Linked DNA regions of Pelodiscus sinensis. The protein of the gene in region 1 purifies or fractionates together with the protein of each later gene. This does not show direct contact. Links are inferred from orthologs where the notes say so. Each region holds a gene or a part of one and is shown on either strand. Other genes may lie near its edges.

Region 1 (7,646 bases):
GGAAACAAAGGGTAGGAATAAATGGCAAGTTTTCCAAATGGAGAGAGGTAACTAGTGGTGTCCCTCAAGGGTCTGTACTGGGACCAATCCTATTCAACTTATTTATAAATGATCTAGAGAAAGGGGTAAACAGGGAGGTGGCAACATTTGCAGATGATACCGAACGGCTCAAGATAGTAAAGACCAAAGCAGACAGTGAAGAGCTTCGAAAAAAATCTCACCAAACCAAGTGATTTGGCAACAAAATGGCAAATGAAATGTAATGTTGAAAAATGTAAAGCAATGCACATTGGAAAACATAATCCCAACTACACGTACAATATGATGGGGACTAATTTAGCTACAACTACTCAAGAGATTTTGGAGTCATTGTGGGAATTTCTCTGAAAACATCCACTCAGTGTGCAGCGGCAGTCAAAAAAGCAAACAATGTTAGGAATAATTTAAAAAGGGACAGAGAAGAAGACAGAGAATATCTTATTGCCTCTCTATAAAACCAGGGTACATTCTCATTTTGAACACTGTGTACAGATGTGGTCGGCCCGTCTCAAAAAGGCATTGGAAAAGTTTCAGAAAAGGGCAACAAAGATGATGAGGGGTTCGGAATGGATCACATATGAAGAGAGATTAAAAAGACTGGGACTTTTCATCTTAGAAAAGAGGAAACTAGGGGAGGGGGATATGGTAGAGGTCTATAAAATCACGAGTGGTGTGGAGAAAGTGAATAAGGAAAAGTTATTTACTTGTTCCCACAATATAAGAACTAGGGGTCACCAAATGGAATTAATAGGCAGCAGGTTTAAAACAAACAAAAGGAAGTTTTTCTTCACTCAGAGCACAGTCAGCTTGTGGAACTCCTCGCCAGAGGATGCGGCGAAGGCTAGAACTTTAACAGGGTTCAAAAAAGAGCAAGATAGATTCATGGAGGTTGGGTCCATCAATGGCTATTAGCCAGGATGGGTAGGAATGGTGTCCCCAGCCTCTGTTCATGTGGAAATGGATGACAGGAGAGGGATCACATGATGATTCCCTGTTATGTTCCCTCCCTCTGGACATCTGGCATTGGCACTTGTCCGTAGACAGGACACTGGGCTAGATGGACCTTTGGTCTGACCCAGTCTGGCTGTTCTGTGAAGTTGGGATGCGTATCTCAGCTACAACACTACATTAGCTACAAGATACCAGAGTATGCAGCAGACAAACAGAAATTGGTAGAGAGCAGCCACACCTGCACAAGCTGTCTATTCCTCACACAAAGTCAATCTTCTGGATGACATTTTTCTCCCCACACTTGTCAACATTAACAATAGAAATTTAGGATTTCCCTTAAGACCTTAGATACAATACTGTAGTTTACAGACTGAGTTTCTGAAAAGAACATGAAACATTTAACTTACAGAAAATGCAAACTTTTGTGCTTGTTCATTCTGTTAAATTAAATACCAAGGAACGAGGAGGCATCCTTTCTTTGAACTCCAAGAAACATGTTGGCTGCCACAGAATTTCCTTTGAAAGGCTCTACTTCACTACTTCCGGACACTGTCACTTTTCATATAAAAGCCACAACTCTCATTCGCATGGAAGCCCTTGTTCATGAAGAGAACACAAAATATGGGATTTATCTCACCTGCTTCATAGGTTACAAAGCAAAGAGACCACTCTGATCTCCTATATAACACAACAGAGAAGTTCCCAAAGTAATGCCCAAAGCAGAAATTTAGGAAAAACAGCCAATCTTGATGTAAAAATTAGCCAGGATGGAGACTCCACCAAGACCCTTGGTAATGTGTTTCAATGGTTCATTAAACTCAGACCATGCCTACACGATTACTTTTGTTGGTATACCTTATGTTGCCTCGGGTGTAAAAAACCAGACTCGTGAACTACATAAGTTACACAGACAGGAACACCACGCCCAACACAGCTACCACACCTCATAGAAGTGTTTTTTTATGTTAATAGGAAAGCTCTCTTCTGCCACCATAGTGCAGCCACATAATGGATATTACAGAGACACAGGAGGGATATTACGGACACACACCTGCCCCACTTTAAGTTGGCTATTGCAGACATGGCCTCCCTGTTAATCATTTCCCATGTAGGTTTTTACAGATGGTGATCAAGTCACTCTTTCAACTTCTTTGTTAAGCAAAAAGACCGAGCTTCTTGAGTCTGTTACTATAGGGAATGTTTTCTAATCCATTGATCGCTCTCACAGCTCCTCTCTGATCGCTCTCCAATTTAACAACATCCTTCTTGAATTGAGGACACCTCAACTGGACACAGTAGTACAGCTGCAGTCGCACCAATGCTATACCCAGAAGAAAAACAACCTCTTTACTCCTACTACTGTTTAGGAGATACAGCTGTACAAAGGTTTGTCTACCCATGCAAGAGATACCAATTTAACTACCCACTGCTACAGCGTGCACCTAGTTATGCTGGCGCTTATAGTAACTCCCATGAAGAAGGGGAATAACACACACCAGTATAAGGCATCTCGACACTGGTAGGACACCAGCACTTGGAGTTGTATGGAAATAGCCATGATTACAAAGCTCCTCCGTGGAACCATACTGACTGGTTTAAAAAGGGTTTCGACAGGATCAAGCTCCAGCGATTACTCGCCGCCTGTGGGGCTCCCAGACCCGCCTGCAAGGGGCCGGTCTAAGCCAGGGGCCCGCACCGGCAGGAGCGGCTGCAACCCCATTTCCAAGCGGGCTCGCCCGGCGCTCGGCCTGACAGCGGGGTCCCCCTCCCGGGCTGTCCCGCGCGCCCTGCGGCGAGGAGTTCCGCGGGTGCGCCGCACTCACCGGGCTCCAGCAGATGAGCGGGTCGGTGTCGGGGTCCTCCACCAGGGTCCACAGCTTGGTGAGGAAGGCGGGCACGTTGCTGCCGCCCGCCCCCGCCGCCGCGCCCGGGCCCTCCATGCTCGCTAGCGCCGCCGCCCCCCGCCCTGGGGCCCGGCCGCGGCCTGCGCACGGCGCCCCGCGGAGCCCAGCATGGCCGCCGCCATCTTGGGACGCCTCCCGACCAAGCCCCCTTCCGAGCCAGCGGCGCGCATGCGCCGGCTTCCCTCGCCTCCCCCCCGCCCGCGACAGGCCCAGCGCGCCGCGCATGCGCGGTTTATGCTTTCGCGCGCGTCCGGCCGCCGGCCGTGGAGCTCTGCGCCTGCGCTCGCTGCCCGGCTGGACTGCCGCGCATGCGCCCGGCGCGCAGCACCTTGGGCGTTCCGAACGAGGTAGCAAGCGCGTGCGCCAATGGCTCCAATAACCTTTGACCCCTGACCCCAGTCCGGCTGGGCCCGGAACGTCTTTCTCAGCCGCGCGCCGCGGTGCGGCCTGGCCCGGGAGAGCGCTGCCTGGGGGGCGGGGCGCCGTGACCTCTGACCTCTCGCACGTGGTGTGAGGAGCAGCAGCGGCGCGGCGCGCGGGACTCGTGGAGCCGCCATGGAGCGGGCGGGGGGGGCGCGCTGCGGCCTGGTGGGTGACGTGGGGCCCCGCGGGGGGGGGCTCTGGGCCCCAGGGCTGGGGGAGGCTGTGAGGGGGGGCTCTGGGCCCCAGGGCTGGGGGAGGCTGTGAGGGGGGGCTCTGGGCCCCAGGGCTGGGGGGGGCCGTGAGGGGGGCTCTGGGCCCCAGGGCTGGGGGGGGCCGTGAGGGGGGGGCTCTGGGCCCCAGGGCTGGGGGGGGGCCGTGAGGGGGGGGCTCTGGGCCCCAGGGCTGGGGGGGGGCCGTGAGGGGGGGGCTCTGGGCCCCAGGGCTGGGGGGGGGCCGTGAGGGGGGGGCTCTGGGCCCCAGGGCTGGGGGGGGCCGTGAGGGGGGGCTCTGGGCCCCAGGGCTGGGGGGGGCCGTGAGGGGGGGGCTCTGGGCCCCAGGGCTGGGGGGGGCCGTGAGGGGGGGGCTCTGGGCCCCAGGGCTGGGGGGGGCCGTGAGGGGGGGGCTCTGGGCCCCAGGGCTGGGGGGGGGCCGTGAGGGGGGGGCTCTGGGCCCCAGGGCTGGGGGGGGGCCGTGAGGGGGGGGCTCTGGGCCCCAGGGCTGGGGGGGGCCGTGAGGGGGGGGCTCTGGGCCCCAGGGCTGGGGGGGGGCCGTGAGGGGGGGGCTCTGGGCCCCAGGGCTGGGGGGGCCGTGAGGGGGGGCTCTGGGCCCCAGGGCTGGGGGGGCCGTGAGGGGGGGGCTCTGGGCCCCAGGGCTGGGGGGGGCCGTGAGGGGGGGGCTCTGGGCCCCAGGGCTGGGGGGGCGGCGAGGGGGGGGCTCTGGGCCCCAGGGCTGGGGGGGGCCGTGAGGGGGGCTCTGGGCCCCAGGGCTGGGGGGCCGGCGAGGGGGGGCTCTGGGCCCCAGGGCTGGGGGGCCGGCGAGGGGGGGCTCTGGGCCCCAGGGCTGGGGGGGTGGTGAGGTCAGGCTGTGAGCGGGGCGCTAGGCACAGTAGGCTGGAGTCAGCGGGGGTCCGATGCCTTCTGCTCCCAAGCACGCCCAGCATGTGCTTGGTCACACACCCACCCGCCAGCCCCTCCAGTCCTTGTCCCACAGAGCTCCATGCTTGGCCAGTAGATCAAAAAACAAACAAACAAACAAGCACGTGGGGGGACCTCCTTTGAGCAAAGGGGGGAAGTCAGGGCTCTTCCTGCCTGAGCCTCTCAGCCACTTTCCTTGCAAGAGGTGAGGGTGCTCCCATAGTGGGAGGGTGGGTGGGGAGAGATTCCCAGACTCCTAGCTGGACCCATGGATACCAAGGCTGACTTACCTTTTGGGTTGAGACTTCTATGGTCTAGCCATGTGTGGTGTGTGCCAACTTCCTTTTTTTGATGGAAAGGAGTGGAGGGAGTATTTTCTGGTGTATGTACACACAGAACAAGCAGAGTCAGTCTTGCTTGTAGCTTTCCTGAGAGCTGTTTCTCTTCGCTAGTGCTAAGAGAGTTGTGGTGTGGTGGCGCTGTGAGCGCATGCGGAGTGTTTGGGATGCACTGCTGATAGTGTCTGTTGCTTTTCCCCATTCATTCGTAGAATCAGCAGCACACCTGTCTGGAAACAGATTTTTACCCTGTTCTAAGACCGACTTGCTCACAATTCCCATATTACACAATCCAGCCCTGCCTGAACTCCCTTTCCTGCCTGCCCTAACACACGGCTCTTTACCGCTGACCCCATGTGGCATGGGGCCAGGTATGAAAGAAGTTAGGTTAGAACATAAGAACGGCCGTACTGGGTCAGGCCAAAGGTCCATCTAGCCCAGTAGCCTGTCTACTGACAGTGGCCCGCACCAGGTGCCCCAGAGAGGGTGGACCAAAGACAATGATCAAGCGATTTGTCTCCTGCCATCCCTCTCCAGCCTCTGACAAACAGAGGCCAAGGACACCATTTTATCCCCTGGCTAATAGCCTTTTATGGACCTAACCTCCATGAAATTGTCTAGCTTCTCTTTAAATTCTCTGTAAACAGGTTGTACCCCCTGAATGTTCCAAGCATACCTTCACCTTTCTGCAGCAGTGCAAGAGGGCCCTAGCTGCACAAGGGGGTGATGGGCTTAGGCCATGAAAGGCTTTATCTGAGGTGGGATGTGCCGGTGAAAGCATGCCTTAGGACAGGGGTGGGAACCTTTTGTGAGTCGGGGGCAGCACGCCAGTATAAAGCAAAAAACAAAAAAGCCCTCACTGACATGGCCCCTGACTGAGGAGAAAGACTCTCCCCACATTCCCCTCACACACTAGAGCCTCGGGGAGCCCGGTAGATTTTGTGTGCTCCAGCCCTGTGCGGGGGGAGGAGGCTGGTGTTCCAGCACAGGTTCCCCAAAGCTGAAGGGAGCCCTGAGCATTGGGGGCTGGATCCAAGCAAGCCTCAAGTTCCTCACCCCTGCCTTAGAATCCTAGAACTGGAAGGGACCTCAAGAGGTCCTCAAGTCCAGTCCCCTGACCTCACAGCAGGACCAAGCACCATCTAGATCATCCCTGACAGGTGTTTGTCCAGTGATGGAGATTGCACAACCTCCCTAGGCAATTTATTCCAGGATTTAATCACCCGGACAGGTAGGAAGTTTTTCCTAATGTCCTCCTTGTAACACCCTTTTAGATACTTGGAGGAGACACTTCTGATGGGGAGGGAGGTCCACAGGAGATCCAGCTGTAGGGTTCATGCCACACGTAAGCCACTCCTGGGCCACAAATAAGCACTGAAAGATTCCGCATAGAGGGGAGTAATGGAAAGGTTAGATTCCAGGAGCCAGAGCTGGGATTGGAGGGCCGTTCAGTGGCAAAGCTGTGCTGTTATTAGGAGGAAGAAAATGAATACATTGGGAGGAAGAGAGAGTCTCATGCACACACTAGGGAGATGTGGCCTTGGTTAAACTACTCTAGGCTGGGTGCACACATGGTTGAAGGATTGCGCTCAAAGTGTAGTTGTCAGTGGTTGGACATCAAAGTGAGGGAATGGATTTGGGGGATCCTGCAGGGCTCAGTCCTGGGTGTGCTTTAGGATACTCTGTAGGCACTTTGGAGAACAGGATGAGAATTCAGAGTAACCTTGACAAATTGGAGAATTGATCTTACAGCCACAGGATGAGAATTCAACAAAGGCAAGTGCCCAGTACTACACTTAGGAAGGAAAAATCAAATGCACAGCTGCAAAATGGAGTACCTGGCTAGGCAGTAGTACTGCTGGAAAGGATCTGAGGCTTATGGAAGGTCGTGTACTGAGTAGGAGTCGTCATTAGGGATGTTAAAAAGCGGTTAACTAGGTAACCGTTTAACCGCTGAAAAATCTTAGTGGTTATGCACTGCAGGCTGCTGTGGGGCCACTGGCTGCTGGCCCCCCTCCTAGCTTCTACCCCTCTCCCAGGGAACTGGCTGCTGCCTGATGCCATGGGCTCTGATACAGAGCCAGCAGCACAGGGTGGCAGCCAGCTCCCCAGCAGCGGGGACAGGAGCTGGTCTGTTGCCATTATGGTAACCAGGAATCTCATGCTTCCTGGTTAGCTGTGTAAACGGCTATACTGTTCCATCCCTAGTGTTCTTGTGGAGCACGTGTGAAAGGCTGAGCTTGCTCTGGGGTGTATTAACAGAGCCTCTGCATGCGAGACTCCGAAGGGAACAGTCCCATGCTGGAGCGCTGGGTCCAGCTTTGGGCACACGCTTTAGGAAAGATGCGGAAAACCGGGAGGGAGTCTTTACTAGACTTGCTGGTGGCACGATTGCTGCAGTGTCCATCCACCCCTAGTGGAGACAAGCCCTTAGGTCAGTACGATGGGTTTGCGCATCATGTACGTGAACAAGACGTGCACGAAGACGGGGGCACTCGTTCAGCAGGTGGCAACGGTCAGAATGATACGCCCTGTGATGCAGTTTGCCCCGAGCACCTTTGCCTCAGCGTATTCAAAAGCAAGTTCTCAAGCTGGAGCTGTGACCAGGCTGGCCGGGGGAGACCGGCCGCGAGGGGTTCTGTGCTGTGATGCCTGTGCTCTCCTTTCAGTCCTCCGCTCTCCGCGCTGAAGCCATGGAGGAGCATGACCAGGGAAGCGATGGCCTGACAGACAGCGAAGAGAGCATCTACTCGGGGCTGGAGGATTCGGGGAGCGACAGCAGCTCAGAGGAGGAGGCGGCGGAGGACCAGGACAGTGGAGCAGAGGGGGAATTGAAAGGCGGTTCGCGCTCCACGGCA
Region 2 (7,112 bases), on another chromosome or scaffold:
GCGGATTTCACCTTGAGCTTCTGCACGGGGCTCTGCATGGCTCGCATGAGCACTGAGAAGCCGTCCAGGCGCAGGAACTGCTGTAGGCCCCCCTCCTGGGCGCGCACCAGGCCTGACGCCGAGGAGAAGGGCAGAAAGAGCCTCACCCAGAGCAACATGCATGCTCCTCCCCGCGCTGCAACACCGCTCCCAGCCTCCAGGGGCAGAGGCGAGCAAGGCTCCACCCTGGCCCCTCTGCTACCACAGGGCCAATGCTCTCTATGGCTGTGGCGCTGGCGCCCCCTGGAGGGGAAAGGGCCCCATTCTCACCCCTTTCTGGGGGGCATCCCCTAGAAGGGGCAGGCCCAGCACCCCACACCTCCCCCGCCCCCGGACCAGATGAGAGCCAAAGCCCCGTAGAGTGGCCAGGCCCCGGGCTCCATCCCCACCCCAGACTGGCCAGGAGCCGGCGCCCCTGCAGGACTCACAGGAGATGGCGAAGAGCGCTTTGACGCGCACCAGGTCGGCCCCGTCGTGGTCCAGAAGCCGCAGCAGCTTGCGCATGCAGCCCAGCGCCAGCGCCTGCTCCTGCACCTTGGGCACATTCTGGGCGCAGGTGCCTACCAGGTGGGCCGCACGCCAGCGCAGGTCCGGGACAGGGTGCTCCAGGTAGCGATGAGCCAGCAGCCGCATTCCATCCAGCTTGCAGAAATCTGGGAGGGGGAAGAGGGGGCGTGACGGCAGGTGTCACGGAGTCCCCCCCACCCAAGGGAGGGTCCTTCTGCTGCCCCACATCTCCCTCCCCAGCACACACAGACTCTGGTGTCATATAGGGTTCTCAGGCAGTGCTGGCGGGGCACCCCTTATGCCAGGCCCACCTTATTGGGGTCACCCTCACCTAGCTCTGCCCCCATCTTCGGAGGTTTGGGTCCCTTCCAGAGACACCCTGATATGAGGGGACCCCATCTCAGAGACCAGCCTGCCTTGGGGACAGGCCCCCCAGAACCTCCAATTGCCTTCCCCCCAAAGCCACAGCAATCCTCCCCCTTCTCAGGCCACAGGCACCCCCCCCATTCCAGCTCCCTCCAGTCCTGCCCCGAGTGCCCCTCTCCTGCTCCAAGTACCCCCCAGAATCTGCCCTGCTCTGAGAACCCCCCCGCCCCCGTACCTGCGGCGTTGTCCAGGTTCTCACACAGCTCAGCCAGCAGCTCCAGCGCACTGGCCTGGCGCGAGGGGTCGCCCTCAGCTGGCTCCGAGGACTCGCCACCGTCCCCGCCCGGGGACATGGCCTCCAGCACCCGCAGACATTCCTTCATCTGCTCCACCTCCTCCAGCTGCCCCCTGAACGCCTGAGCCATGGCCTCCTGCAACCACTGCCGCCGCTGGGAGCGGGCAGAGAGGGGGTCAGCGCCCGGCCCCAACCCAAACCTCCCGAAGCCAGAGGCAGAACCCAGGAAGTCTGGCTCCAGCCCCTGCTACTCTAACCACCAGGCCTCACTGCGCTCCCACAGCCGGGGAGAAACCCAGAAACCCCCGTCCTCTGCTCTAACCACTAGCCCCCACCCCGCTCCCAGAAGCAGGAGAGGAGTCAGGGGTCCTGGCGGCCACACAGCACAGCCGGGCACCTCGTCAGACATGGGCTCCAACTGGCTGGGCTCGTTGCCGGCGGTGATGGCCATCTGCAGCAGCCCCTGCAGGTTCCGCGGGTGCTCGCGTGGCGGCTGGTTCCCCCCGGCGCCCCCTTCGGCCATGGCTGGGGCGGTGCAGGGCCAGAGACCAGGCCCCCTGCAGAGAAAGGCGCAGACAACAGGAGTCAGCAGCGGAGCTGGGGAGAGAACCCAGAAGAGGCCAGCAGCCTCCCCTCCAGCCTACTCACTAGACCCCACTCCCCTCCCAGAGCCAAAGGGAGCCCTGGCGCCCGGCTGTAACCCCAAAGCTGCGCCTTCCTCACCTAGGTCTGGGCGTCCTGGCGTTATCAGATGCGGTGTCCGCGCACGGGGGGAGGGGCGGGGGTATCACCGATCTCCGGCTCCCACCGCTGACACCAAGAGAGGGGTCGCTGGGCGGAGGCAAAGAACCTAGATCAGCAGGCGGGGGGGGGGGGGGGGTCAGCCAGGCTGAGAGTCACAGGGTATGGAGGGTGGCGGGGGATGGTGCTCTCAGCTTCCCTCCCATCCCCCATTCAACAGCTCCCAAAGCAGACACACCCCCCTTCCTGGGGCGTAGGGGGTCACTCGCGGCTCTCCCCCAGCCACCCCTCCTCCCACTGCCCCCCAACACCCCGCCCCACCCCCCTCCAGTCACTGCCCCTCCCCCCACTGCTCTCTGCCCCTCCCCCCACTGCTCTCTGCCCCCGACACCCCTCCATTCACTGCCCCTCCCCCACTGCCCTCTGCCCCAACACCCCGCCCCATCCCCCTCCATTCACTGCCCCTCCCCCACTGCCTCTGCCCCCAACACCCCGCCCCATCCCCCTCCATTCACTGCCCCTCCCCCACTGCCCTCTGCCCCAACACCCCGCCCCATCCCCCTCCAGTCACTGCCCCTCCCCCCACTGCCTCTGCCCCCGACACCCCGCCCCCTCCCCCTCCATTCACTGCCCCTCCCCCACTGCCCTCTGCCCCAACACCCCGCCCCATCCCCCTCCATTCACTGCCCCTCCCCCACTGCCCTCTGCCCCAACACCCCGCCCCATCCCCCTCCAGTCACTGCCCCTCCCCCCACTGCCTCTGCCCCCGACACCCCGCCCCCTCCCCCTCCATTCACTGCCCCTCCCCCACTGCCCTCTGCCCCAACACCCCGCCCCATCCCCCTCCAGTCACTGCCCCTCCCCCCACTGCCTCTGCCCCCGACACCCCGCCCCCTCCCCCTCCATTCACTGCCCCTCCCCCACTGCCTCTGCCCCCGACACCCCGCCCCTCCCCCTCCAGTCACTGCCCCTCCCCCACTGCCTCTGCCCCCGACACCCCGCCCCTCCCCCGCTCTCACCCCCTACCGCGCCCCGCGCTCCCACTCCCAGCCCTGGGCGCCGCCATCTTGGCCGGACGTGACGTTTCAGCCAAAAAGGGGGCGGGGCAGCGAGGGTGGGACGCGGGCGGGGCGACCCCTGCTGGCGGGAGCGGAGAGCTGGGCGGGAGGGGGCGGGGCCTGGGGGCTGGGGGCGGGGCGCTGGGGGGGGGGCTGCGGGGCCCCTCTGGGGGTGTGGGAAGGACATTTCTGTCCTAAGTCGCTACGCCCTGGGCCTGCCTCGGTTTCCCCCGACTCCGCGTGGCTGCCTGGGGATGGGGGAGGGTCACAGCGGCGGGGGGAGCTGGAGCCCTGGGGGGCCGGGGCCACCTGGGGCGCAGTGAATGGGACACAAAAGGCCCCAGAACAACTGGAGGCTCCGGAGGGACAAGGGGGCAACCCAGGGACAATTCACCCCCAAGCGGGGGCTCTCCGCTCTGCAGGGGGCAAGGGGCCAGGGCAAGACCTGGCCAGTGGGGAGACAGGAGGGCGGACAGAGACGCCGGGATGGGGCCTGTGACCCCCAGGATGTCATGAGCTCCCCCAGGCATCTGGCTCGGCCGGCCCCACTGAGCAGAGCAGGGGGGCAGATGCCCAGGGCTCAGGCTTGGAGGCGGGCAGGCTGCAGGGCCCGGCCCCGATGGGAGAGGGTGGGGTCTGGCGCACCAGTTTTCAAGGGGCTGTTTAAAAGCCAATGCACAGCCCTGGTCCTGGTCAGGGAGATGGTGGGGGCGGGATTGGGCAGGGGAGAACTGGGAGGGCTGGTTTGGTGGAGGGATGGGGACGGGGGTACAGGGCAGGGAGAACGGATAGGCTGTGGGAGGGTGAATGGGGGGATGCAGTGGGGTTGGATTGGGCAGCAGGGGGCTGGGGTTGCGGGGGGGGGGGATATTTGGCAGGGGATCCAGGGGAGGTTTGCTGGGGGGAGGGTTCAGGCGGCTGTGGGGGACCTAGGGGGAGGAGCAAGGCAGCGACTCATCCCCCACCCCCCACAGTGGAACAAAGCCACCTGCTAAGGCAATTTCAGCCTGAGGTTTGAAAGCCGCTCCTCCCCCCCCCCACTTTCCAAACTCCAGCTGGGTCCCTCCCCTCCCCGGCACCTCCCAGAGCCAGCACTGGCCCCAGCCTGGTGTTGGAAACAATCGGGGTCATGACGCCGATCCCCAGTGCCAGCCTGACGTGGCACAGAGGTTAGGAAGTGAGGGGCCTGGAGCTGGAGAAAGATGGAGGCCAAGGAGGTCCGGGTTTGGGGGGGCCAGGATGGCTCCTGGATCTTGGCTCCCAGGGGTAAAGGGAAAGTTTGTGGCCGGCGCGGCTGGGCTGGAAGGAATCGGGGGCCGAGGTGGAACCGAAGCTGCCTGTGTCTGACAAGAGCCTGAGCCGGCCGGTCCTGGGGGGGGGGGAGGGTGAACGGCCCGGAGTGTCACAGACACAGATCGAGGGGGGAGACTTGGAGTTTGTGGCTCAGCGCTGGAGCCAAGCTCTGAGGATTCGAGATCGGGAAGAGCCAGCAGGGAGGGGGGCAGGTCCTCCCCCTCCATGAGGGACCAGCCAGGATGCCGGGCTTGATGGGCCCGGCCTCATATGGCCTCTGCCACTAACGGCCAAGCGGGCAGAGCCACGGAGGGGTGGAGGTTCTCCGAGGGAGAATCCAGGGGTCCCCAGGGCACCCCCGCAGCTGAATGGCCTCGCCCCAGATGTGCTGGGAGGGGAGCACATGCCGACTCACACTAAGGGAGTCCTAGAGCGCCCAGATGAGAGCCGGAGCACCCCCTCCCCCATCTATCCCTCCATCCCCACACAGCCCCCCTGTCTCCCCATGCACCCTCCATCTATCCCTCCATCTCCCCCACACCCCTCCCCCTCCCTGTCTCCCCATGCACCCCATCTATCCCTACACAGCCCCCTGTCTCCCCATGTACCCCCATCTATCCCTCCATCCCCACACAGCCCCCCGTCTCCCCATGCACCCTCCATCTATCCCTCCATCTCCCCCAAACCCCTCCCCCTCCCTGTCTCCCCATGCACCCCATCTATCCCTACACAGCCCCCTGTCTCCCCATGTACCCCCATCTATCCCTCATCCCTACACAGCTCCCCGTCTCCCCCCGTACCCCCCCATCTACCCCTTCATTCCCACCCCCCCGTCTCCCCACGCACTCCCATTTATCCCTCCATCCCCACACCTCTCCCCCTCCCTGTCTCCCCACACACCCCCATCTATCCCTCCATCCCCCCACACCCTCCCCCCTCCCTTTCTCCCCACACACCCCATCTATCCCTCCATCCCCCCCACACCCTCCTGCACCCTCCATCTATCCCTCCATCCCCATACAGCCCTCCCCCTCCCTGTCTCCCCATGCACCCCCCATCTAACCCTCCATCCCCACATATCTCACCCTCCCGTCTCCCCATGCACTCCTCCCCAGCTATCTACTTCTTATCTTCTCCCCCTGCCCCGAATCTCCCACACAACCAGAGTTGGCTGTCAGAGCGAGCGGGCCCAGGGGGGTGGGGAATGGGGCCCAGGGCCTTTCCCCTCCAGGGGGCGCTGGCTCCAATCTGCCCCCGGGGTGACCATTGACTGGTTGGCTAGGGTGATGCTGCCTGAATGGGGCTTTGACTCCCCCCCTCAGCCACAGAGGGTCTCATGGGGCGGGTGGGGGATGGGTGGCTGAGAGGTGGGGTTGGGGCAGGGGATGGGGGATGCGGGGGCTATGCTGGGCAGCGCCCAGTGTTGTTCCATATCTGGGGCGGGGTCAGACACATGGACACACACTGTGTGTGTGACTGTCTCTGAGCCGCAGGTCTCACACACACACTGCCACACACACAATCACACCCAGGCAATCAGTCACAGTCCCCTGTGCTCGAATCCGCCCCTCCCCCACAGGTCTCAGGCGCATACACAGTGGCACACACAGAATCACAATACACATGCACAATGGCACACGCGCGCGACAATCACAGCCTCGATTTCACAATTAGCAAGCCATACGAACACAGACTCCGTGAACCGCAACTCAGTCGTTACAACCCCACAGTTACACAACCGCACGTACACAGCCACAATTACCCACACAACAATCACACTCACACAATTTCCAGCCACAGAATCACAGAAACCATCACACATTACCATTACACACTACAATCACAACCACAATCACACAATCGCAATTGCACAACTATCGAGCTATACAATCACACACACAATTACACACACACACCACAACCACACAATGACAGCCATGATCACTGCATTATAGTTATACAATCACAGAGCGAATTACACTTACCATAGTCACAATAATTCACATTCACACAAGTAGTCACATGATCACAGGCTCAATCACCCAGTTACAGCCATACAATCATACAACCATCACACAATCCCAAACGTATACATCTGACAATCAGTCCTAGCCACAACACACTAGTACAGCCATACAATCACAGCCATACACCTACAACAATCACACAATTACAGCCACATGCCCACAACAATCAGGCAATCACAGAACACTCACAGTCACACACACTCCAATTACACAATCTCAGCCATACATACAACAACAATCATACAATCACAGTCACACAACAATCACAGCCACATGCACACAACAATCATGCAATCACAGAGCACTCAGTCACATGCACACAACAATTGCACAATCATAGCCATGCACACAATAATCACACGATCACACTCACGCAGCAATCACACCACCATACTCACACAACAGTCACACTTTCACACAAAAATCACAGCCACACTCACACAACAATCACACACTTTCACACAACAATCATGCAACCACAGTCTCACAATCACAGCCACACACACACAATCACATTTTCATACGACAGTCTCACAACCACAGCCGCATGCACACAACAATCACACACGTTCACATGACAATCACAGCCGCACGCACACAAGCACACATGTTCACACAACAAACATACAACCACACAACAAGCACACACATTCATACGACAATCACAGCCGCACGCACAGAACAAGCACACACGTTCACACAGCAATCATACAACCACGCAGCACTCTCACACGTTCACATGACAATCACAGCCACATGCACCAACAAGCACACACGTTCACTGGA

The links.
Region 2: the proteins of HSF1 (region 1) and HSPBP1 purify together in Homo sapiens (affinity purification with mass spectrometry; 5 studies listed by BioGRID and IntAct, counting the BioPlex papers as one, with this or other methods). This does not show direct contact. The link is inferred for Pelodiscus sinensis from reciprocal best matches to the Homo sapiens genes HSF1 and HSPBP1.

What each region holds. Positions count from the first base shown.
Region 1 is NW_027465930.1:120,270-127,915, reverse strand, and holds the start of HSF1 (heat shock factor protein 1), read right to left. Parts: upstream 3,054-7,646; 5' UTR 2,931-3,053; coding exon 2,814-2,930; intron 1-2,813. Other genes in the region: ribosome biogenesis protein BOP1, read left to right, coding at 3,203-3,241, 7,458-7,646. UniProt on the Homo sapiens protein: Functions as a stress-inducible and DNA-binding transcription factor that plays a central role in the transcriptional activation of the heat shock response (HSR), leading to the expression of a large class of molecular chaperones, heat shock proteins (HSPs), that protect cells from cellular insult damage.
Region 2 is NW_027465977.1:226,362-233,473, forward strand, and holds the start of HSPBP1 (hsp70-binding protein 1), read right to left. Parts: upstream 3,030-7,112; 5' UTR 3,015-3,029; coding exon 2,975-3,014; coding exon of another isoform or gene 2,968-2,974; intron 2,058-2,967; coding exon 1,931-2,057; intron 1,765-1,930; coding exon 1,605-1,764; intron 1,362-1,604; coding exon 1,148-1,361; intron 693-1,147; coding exon 468-692; intron 113-467; coding exon 1-112. UniProt on the Homo sapiens protein: Inhibits HSPA1A chaperone activity by changing the conformation of the ATP-binding domain of HSPA1A and interfering with ATP binding. Interferes with ubiquitination mediated by STUB1 and inhibits chaperone-assisted degradation of immature CFTR.